Callithrix jacchus: one gene and its partner. The protein of the gene in region 1 purifies or fractionates together with the protein of each later gene. This does not show direct contact. Links are inferred from orthologs where the notes say so. Each region holds a gene or a part of one and is shown in the gene's direction. Other genes may lie near its edges.

What was found. Proteins that work in one complex are often made in the same cells at the same time.
Region 2: the proteins of PRPF3 (region 1) and CD2BP2 purify together in Homo sapiens (affinity purification with mass spectrometry; 3 studies listed by BioGRID and IntAct, with this or other methods). This does not show direct contact. The link is inferred for Callithrix jacchus from reciprocal best matches to the Homo sapiens genes PRPF3 and CD2BP2.

Annotation. Positions count from the first base shown.
Region 1 is NC_133519.1:10,253,416-10,257,160, forward strand, and holds part of PRPF3 (U4/U6 small nuclear ribonucleoprotein Prp3), read left to right. Parts: intron 1-1,647; coding exon 1,648-1,794; intron 1,795-3,745. UniProt on the Homo sapiens protein: Plays a role in pre-mRNA splicing as component of the U4/U6-U5 tri-snRNP complex that is involved in spliceosome assembly, and as component of the precatalytic spliceosome (spliceosome B complex).
Region 2 is NC_133513.1:29,873,078-29,877,140, reverse strand, and holds the start of CD2BP2 (CD2 antigen cytoplasmic tail-binding protein 2), read left to right. Parts: upstream 1-1,263; 5' UTR 1,264-1,398; exon of another isoform or gene 1,399-1,505; intron 1,506-1,836; 5' UTR 1,837-1,863; coding exon 1,864-1,941; intron 1,942-2,533; coding exon 2,534-2,669; intron 2,670-2,795; coding exon 2,796-2,953; intron 2,954-3,055; coding exon 3,056-3,491; intron 3,492-3,570; coding exon 3,571-3,677; intron 3,678-3,762; coding exon 3,763-3,873; 3' UTR 3,874-4,063. UniProt on the Homo sapiens protein: Involved in pre-mRNA splicing as component of the U5 snRNP complex that is involved in spliceosome assembly.

The DNA of each region.
Region 1 (3,745 bases):
ATAGAATTTCAGACTTAATTTGAATTTTGTTATATTTAAGGGGGAATGATTGATCCATAGTATACACAGATATATACAGTGATGATTATGTCACAATAGGGCATACTTTCTTTTTCTTTTTGAGATGAAGTCTTGCTCTGTCACCCAGGCTGGAGTGCAGCGGCGTAATCTCGACTCACTGCAACCTCCACCACCCAGCTTTAAGCAATTCTCCTGCCTCAACCTCCTAAATAGCTGGGATTACAGGCACGTGCCACCATGCTTGGCTAATTTTTATATCTTTAGTAGAGACGGGGTTTACCATGTTGATCAGGCTGGTCTCAAACTTTTTTTTTTTTTCTTTTGGAGACGGAGTTTTACTCTTGTTGCCCAGGCTGGAGTGCAATGGCGTGATCTTGGCTCACTGCAGCCTCCACCTTCAAGGTTCAAGCAATTCTCCTGCCTCAGCCTCTGGAGTAGCTGGGATTACAGGGATGAATCACCATGCCTGGCTAATTTTTGTATTTTTAGTAGAGACGGGGTTTCTCCATGTTGGTCAGGCTGGTCTTGAACTCCCAACCTCAGGTGATCCGCCTGCCTTGGCCTCCCAAAGGGCTGGGACATCGAACTCCTGACCTTGTGATCTGCCTGCCTTGGCCTCCCAAAGTCCTGGGATTTACAGGTGTGAGCCACTGTGCCAAGCCAGTAGGGCATACTTCTGTATGAGTGCTGAGGGCATACTGTGAGTGAAGTGACTACATTGGGTGGGATTAATAAAAATGGTTTCTTGAAGGAGGTATCTAGATAGCCTTGGGATACGGGTCCCATTTTTGGTCCATTCAAGTCCCCACCCCACACAATATATTATGGGAGAGTCCTTTTTCTTGAACTGTAGGAGTTCCAGGAAGCGCTCGCCCCTGGCTGAGGATATGTCCTTGCAAAACACGAGCCCTCCTAGTGAAGAGGGGATGTCACCCAAAGCCTACCACCGGTGTGTACATTTGCTTTTTCCCATTGTCCCTTCCAGTTGGCCACTCTCGGTCCTGTTAAATTCACCTTGCAAATTAGTCATCATATTTGAGTTCCCATTGTTTGATGAAAACAAGGTGTTAATGGGGATTACTGAAGAAGAAAGAGAAAGCCCCTTTCCTGGAAGAGCTTAGACTTAGTTGGGAAAACTATACTAACATTGAAATACTTAACACTTGGCAAACAAAATATCAACAATGTAATTTAACCTAATATGAACCAAGCTCTTAGGTGCTAAGACAATGTGAAACAAAAGTTTGATCAGAGTGGGGTGAGCTTATAATGAGGAAAACTTCTTAGAGGAGGTGAGTTTTAGGCAGGATTTGGAACAGGGGTTGTGGAAAAGTTGAGAGACATTATAAATGTGGGCAGTAGCATTTGCAAAGACCTTGAGATGGGAACATTTGTAAGAACATGGGAATGAAATTTGTTTGACTGGATTAGGAGAATGTTGAAGTTGGGTGAGATGGTCCACTTGGTGGAGAGTCTAGTAGACCCTGCTTCTGGCAGATAGCTATTTGCAAGGTTGTGTCATATTCCCCTGGGAGAAGCCAGAAAATGCTGGTAGGGGCTAGGATAATTCTTTCCTTCTCCCTGTGAGGAGGGATACAGCTTTTCTTTCATCTTGGGTTCCCTTAGGAGGTGTTTGGTGATGACTCTGAGATCTCTAAGGAATCATCAGGAGTAAAGAAGCGACGAATACCCCGTTTTGAGGAGGTGGAAGAAGAGCCAGAGGTGATTCCTGGACCTCCATCAGAGAGCCCTGGCATGCTGACTAAGCTCCAGGTTAGTAATTAAGGACTGGAAGCAAAATGGTTTTGTGAATTAAAAAAGCAAAGGGTGCATGGGTCTGTATTTATTGTGATTTCTTTTTTTTTTGAGTTGGAGTTTTGCTCTTGTCGCCCAGGATGGAGTGCAGTGTCACGATCTAGGCTCACTGCAACCTCAGCCTCCCAGGTTCAAATGATTCTCCTGTCTCAGCCCTCCTAGTAGCTGGGATTACAGGCACTCACCACCATGCCCGGCTAATTTTTGTATTTCTAATAGAGACAAGGTTTCACCATGTTGGCCAGGCTGGTCTTGAACTCCTGACCTCAGGTGATCCACCTGCCTCAGCCTCCCCCAAAGTGCTAGGATTACAGGTGTGAGCCACCATGCCTGGCTAATTTTTTGTATTATTATTATTGTTTTTTAGTGAGACAGAGTTTCACTATGTCAGGCAGACTGGTCTCGAACTTCTGACCTCAGGTGATCTACTCGCCTTGGCCGCCCAAAGTGCTGGGATTGCAGGTGTGTGCCACCTCTCCTGGACCTCTTGTGATCTTGATTTGAATTAATGTTTAGTGTTCCAGGAAGTCTTTTTTTTTTTTGAGACGGAGTTTCGCTCTTGTTACCCATGCTGGAGTGCAATGGTACGATCTCGGCTCACCGCAACCTCCGCCTCCTGGGTTCAGGCAATTCTCCTGCCTCAGCCTCCTGAGTAGCTGGGATTACAGGCACACGCTACCATGCCTGGCTAATTTTGTGTTTTAAGTAGAGATGGGGTTTCTCCATGTTGGACAGGCTGGTCCTGACCTCAGGTGATCTGCCTGCCTCAGCCTTCCAAGGTACTGAGATTATAGGTGTGAGCCACCAACCCTGGCCAACTTTGTACTTTTTTTTTTTTTGAGATGGAGTTTTGCTCTTGTTACCCAGGCTGGAGTGCAATGGCACGATCTCGGCTCACCACAACCTCTGCCTCCTGGGTTCAGGCAATTCTCTTGCCTCAGCCTCCTGAGTAGCTGGGATTACAGGCACCATGCCCAGCTAATTTTTTGTATTTTTAGTAGAGATGGGGTTTCACCATGTTAACCAGGATGTCTTGATCTCTTGACCTCGTAATCCATCCGCCTCGGCCTCCCAAAGTGCTGGGATTACAGGCTTGAGCCACCACTCCCGGCCCCTTGGACTATTTTTTAACAAGAAGTATTTGTGTTTTTTCAATTGGCATCGTTAAATAATTTTGATACCACATAAACAATAAGTGTTTCTTTTACCATTTAATATGCAAAGGGTATAATAGAACATATACATACATATAGATGGATGGATTTGCATATATATGCTATTTATGAAAGGAAAGAAACGGATGTTTTTTTTGTTTTTTTTTTTTTTGAAGAGTATCTCTCTGTCGCTCAGCCTGGAGCACAGTGGTCCAATCTTGGTTTACTGCAGCCTCCGCCTCCCAGGTTGAAGTGATTTTCCTGCCTCAGCCTCCTGTAGCTGGGGCTACAGGCATGCGCCACCATGCACGGTTAATTTTCATATTTAGTAGAGACAGGGGTTTCACCATGTTGACCAGGCTGGTCTGGAATTCCTGACTTCAAGTGATCCACCTACCTTGGCCTCCCAAACTGCTGGGATTATAGATGTGAGCTACTGTGCCCAGCCTGTTTTTGTTTTTGAGACAGGGTCTGTCTCTGTCGTCCAGGCTGGAGTTCAGTGGCAAGATCTTGGCTCACTGTAACCTCTGCCTCCCAGGCTTGAGCTGTCCTCCCACTTTGGCCTCCTAAGTAGCTGGGATTTCAGGCCACCATGGCTGGCTAATTTTTGTATTTTTTTGTAAAGATGAGGTTTTGCCATATTTCCTAGGCTGGTCTTAACTCCTGGGCTCAAATGATCTTCCTGCCTCAGCCTCCCAAAGCGTTAGAATTGCAGGTGTGAGCCACACGCCCAGCCGATGATGTTTTTCATGGAG
Region 2 (4,063 bases), on another chromosome or scaffold:
CAGGAGTGGGAAGACATGATTTCTTTCTTTTTTTTTTTTGAGACGAGTCTCACTTTGTCGCCCAGGCTGGAGTGCAATGACGCGATCTCAGCTCACTGCAACCTCCGCCTTCCGGGTTCAAGCAATTCTCCTGTCTTAGCCTCCCGAGTAGCTGGGATTACAGGCTCATGCCGCCATGTCCGGCTAAATTTTTGTATTTTTAGTAGAGACGGGTTTCACCGTATTCCCCAGGCTGGTCTTGAACTCCTGAGCTCAGGCAATCCACCCGCCTCGGCCTCTCAAAGCGCTAGGATCACAGGCGTGTGCCACCGTGCCCAGCCCGAAAGCAGGATTCCTTTTTTTTTTTTTTTTGAGGTTGCCCAGGCTGGAGTGCAGTGGCGCAATCTCGGCTCACCGCATGCAACCTCCGCCTCCCGGGTGCTTGCAATTCTCCTGCCTCAGCCTCCCGAGTAGCTGGGACTAGAGGCGTATGCCGCCACGCCCGGCTAATTTTTTTGTAGTTTAGGAGAGACGAGGTTTCTTTTCTTTTCTTTTTTCTTTTGAGACGGAGTTTCGCTCTTGTTACCCAGGCTGGAGTGCAGTGGCGCGATCTTGGCTCACCGCAACCTCCGCCTCCTGGGTTCAAGCAATTCTCCCGCCTCAGCCTCCCGAGTAGCTGGGACTACAGCCGCGCACCACCATGCCCAGCTAATTTTTTGTGTATTTTTAGTAGAGACGGGGTTTCACCATGTTGACCAGGATGGTCTCGATCTCTTGACCTCGTGATCCACCCGCCTCGGCCTCCCAAAGTGCTGGGATTACAGGCGTGAGCCACGGCGCCCGGCCGAAGGCAGGATTTCTAGCGACACGGTAGGGGCGCAGAACCCTTCCCTGGGGGAAGGGTTACTCGAACCCAGGACAGGAAGACAAGAAAGCAATCCAGTGGCTCTGCTCAGACTTTGCTCCTAAATCCTGACACTGAGCGACCCTTTAAGTAGATGCGCTCCACTTTTTCTCCAGAGCCTCTACGGCTCAATGAGAGAATCAAAGCTACTTCCGGCCATTTCTCACGCCGGGTTAGAGTCTAGGAATTCTTAAGTCTCCTCTTTTCGCCACTTTCCTCCCACGCGACTGACGTCACTTCTGGCGTAAGAAAGGGTGGAGGTGTCTTCCCTCGCTCATCGCGTACTTCCGCCCGCTCTTCCAGTTGGTCCTCTGGCCGGAGTGAAGCCACTTCCGGCCTCCCCGGCGCATTCCTCAGTCCTCTTCCGGGTGATGGCGGCCGGGTGCCCCGGATGTAGCCCTGGCGCAAGCATCTCTTCTTTGCCGCCTCACCTCCAGCGGATCCCCAGGTGAGCGCGCGAGCGTGGGACCATCCGAATCCCCGTGGCCCTCTACTTTGTACGCAGCCCGGGACAGGTGGAGCTCACCACACGGAATTGGGAGTTCGGAGCAGGGAGGAACGGGGCGGCGAGGGCGCCAGGTCCTGGGTCCGCCCGGGCCCCGCGAGCTCCGAGAGAGCCTGGGTAGGAGGCGGGGGTCAGCCCGTCGAGCCTGGTGGTACCCAGACTGCGGGGGCTGGGTTTGGAGGTGGTCACATGGTGGAGCCTGTCTCCTTTTGGCCGGGGTCGGGGGATCCAGAGGGATTGCCCCTCCGTCCCCGCCCCATTTAATTCGAGGATGCCAGACCGAGTACCAGAGGCCTTCTGGCTTCCAGCTCCCTTTCCGCCCCTGCTTTTGTGCTCCCTTCCCTCTCAAACTGTACTTGTCACCAAGAAAAATGTTTGCTGTGCCGGGAATCCTCTGGCGGCGAGTCCCCTCCTCACCCCGTTCTCTTCCTCTGCATACTTTCCTCAGCTTGAGGAACACCTTCTCTGCCCTGTCATGCCAAAGAGGAAAGTGACCTTCCAAGGCGTGGGAGATGAAGAGGACGAGGATGATATCAGTGTCCCCAAGAAGAAGGTGAGGGGACCAAACTTCTTTGTGTGGGGGGAAAGAGAGGAGCTAGAAGCCTGAGGAGGAAGAAAGTTGGGAGGGGCAAGGCGGGCTGGCAGAGAAAAGCCTAGTTTTTCCAGGTTCACTGAGGAATGGATTGGGAGCATCTTCAGTGTGGGTCCTGAAATATTTGGGGAAGTAGGGCTGGGCACGGTGGCCCACGCTTGTAATCCCAGCACTTTGGAAGGCCAAGGCAGGCAGATCACCTGAGGTCGGGAGTTGAAGACCAGCCTGGCTAACCTGGTGAAACCCCATTTCTACTAAAAGTACTAAAAATTAGCCGGGTGGTGGTGGGCACCTGTCCCAATTAGTTGGGAGGCTGATGTGGGGGAATCCCTTGAACACAGGAGCCGGAGGTTGCAGTGAGCTGAGATCAGCCATTGCACTCCAGCTTGGGCAACAAGAGTGAACTCTGTCTCAAAGAAAAAAAAAAAAAGAAATATCTAGGGAAGCAGTTGAGATCCTGAAATATTTGGGGAGTATTTGGGTCCAGATCTGGCAGTATTTGGGGAGGTAGCCAGTAACCTGCATTTCTTGACTTCCTGGCTCCTGCTCACAGCTGGTGGACCCTGTGGCTGGGTCAGGGGGTCCTGGGAGCCGCTTCAAAGGCAAACACTCTTTGGACAGCGATGAGGAGGATGATGACGATGGGGGGTCCAGCAAATATGACATCTTGTCCTCAGAGGATGTAGAAGGTGAGCTGTACTCAAGAATACACTCTACTGAAGGAAAAAGTAGAGACCTCTGGTGGTGTGAGGTGAGGGAGGCCCCGGTCTCTTTTTTTTCATCCCCAGCAAAGGACACCCCTGTCTTTGGTGCAGGTCAGGAGGCAGCCACACTCCCCAGCGAGGGGGGTGTGCGGATCACACCTTTTAACCTGCAGGAGGAGATGGAGGAAGGCCATTTCGATGCCGATGGCAACTACTTCCTGAACCGGGATGCTCAGATCCGAGACAGCTGGCTGGACAACATTGACTGGGTGTGGCCAAGGGGCTGGCATGGCTGGGGCCAGGGAGTGGCAGAGCTGCTGCCTGCTCCCGTGGCAGTTTGTGGGAAATCACTCCCCTTCTTCCCATTACAGGTGAAGATCCGGGAGCGGCCACCTGGCCAGCGCCAGACCTCAGACTCGGAGGAGGAGGATGGCTTGGGCCAGACCCCAATGAGTGCCCAAGCTCTCTTGGAGGGACTTTTGGAGCTCCTGTTGCCTAGAGAAACAGTGGCTGGGGCACTGAGGCGTCTGGGGGCCCGAGGAGGAGGCAAAGGGAGCAGCAAGGGGCCCGGACGACCCAATTCCCCACAGCGCCTGGACCGGCTCTCTGGGTTGGCCGACCAGATGGTGGCCCGGGGCAACCTTGGCGTGTACCAGGAAACTCGGGAACGGTTGGCCATGAGGCTGAAGGGTTTGGGGTGCCAGACCCTGGGACCCCACAATCCCACACCCCCACCCTCCCTGGACATGTTTGCTGAGGAAGTGGCGGAGGGGGAACTGGAGACCCCAACCCCTACCCAGAAAGGAGGTGAGCTTGGAGGACACAGGAGGAGGCACTGGGCAGGAGGCAGACACTGGAGGCCAAATGGCTTTGCCTGTTATTTTAGAAGCAGAGTCGCCGGGAGATGGTCTGGTGGATGTGATGTGGGAATATAAGTGGGAGAACACAGGGGATGCCGAGCTGTATGGACCCTTCACCAGCGCCCAGATGCAGGTGAGCCGCTTTCTTCCTCCTTCTGCCTTGTCCCTGCTTCCCCAACTCCTGTCAGTCCTTCCCCAGCTCTGCCCTCTCCTTGCAGACCTGGGTGAGCGAAGGCTACTTCCCGGACGGTGTTTATTGCCGGAAGTTGGACCCCCCTGGTGGTCAGTTCTACAACTCCAAACGCATTGACTTTGACCTCTATACCTGAGCCTGCTGGGGGCCCAGTTTGGTGGGCCCTTCTTTCCTGGACTTTGTGGAGGAGACCCCCAAGTGTCTCAGGCAGTGAGGAAATTGGAGGCCATTTTTCAGTCAATTTCCCTTTTCCAATAAAAGCCTTTAGTTGTGTATTAGGGCCTTCGCTGTGCTGATGGCCGGAAGCCAGAGGTCTTCTCCACAGC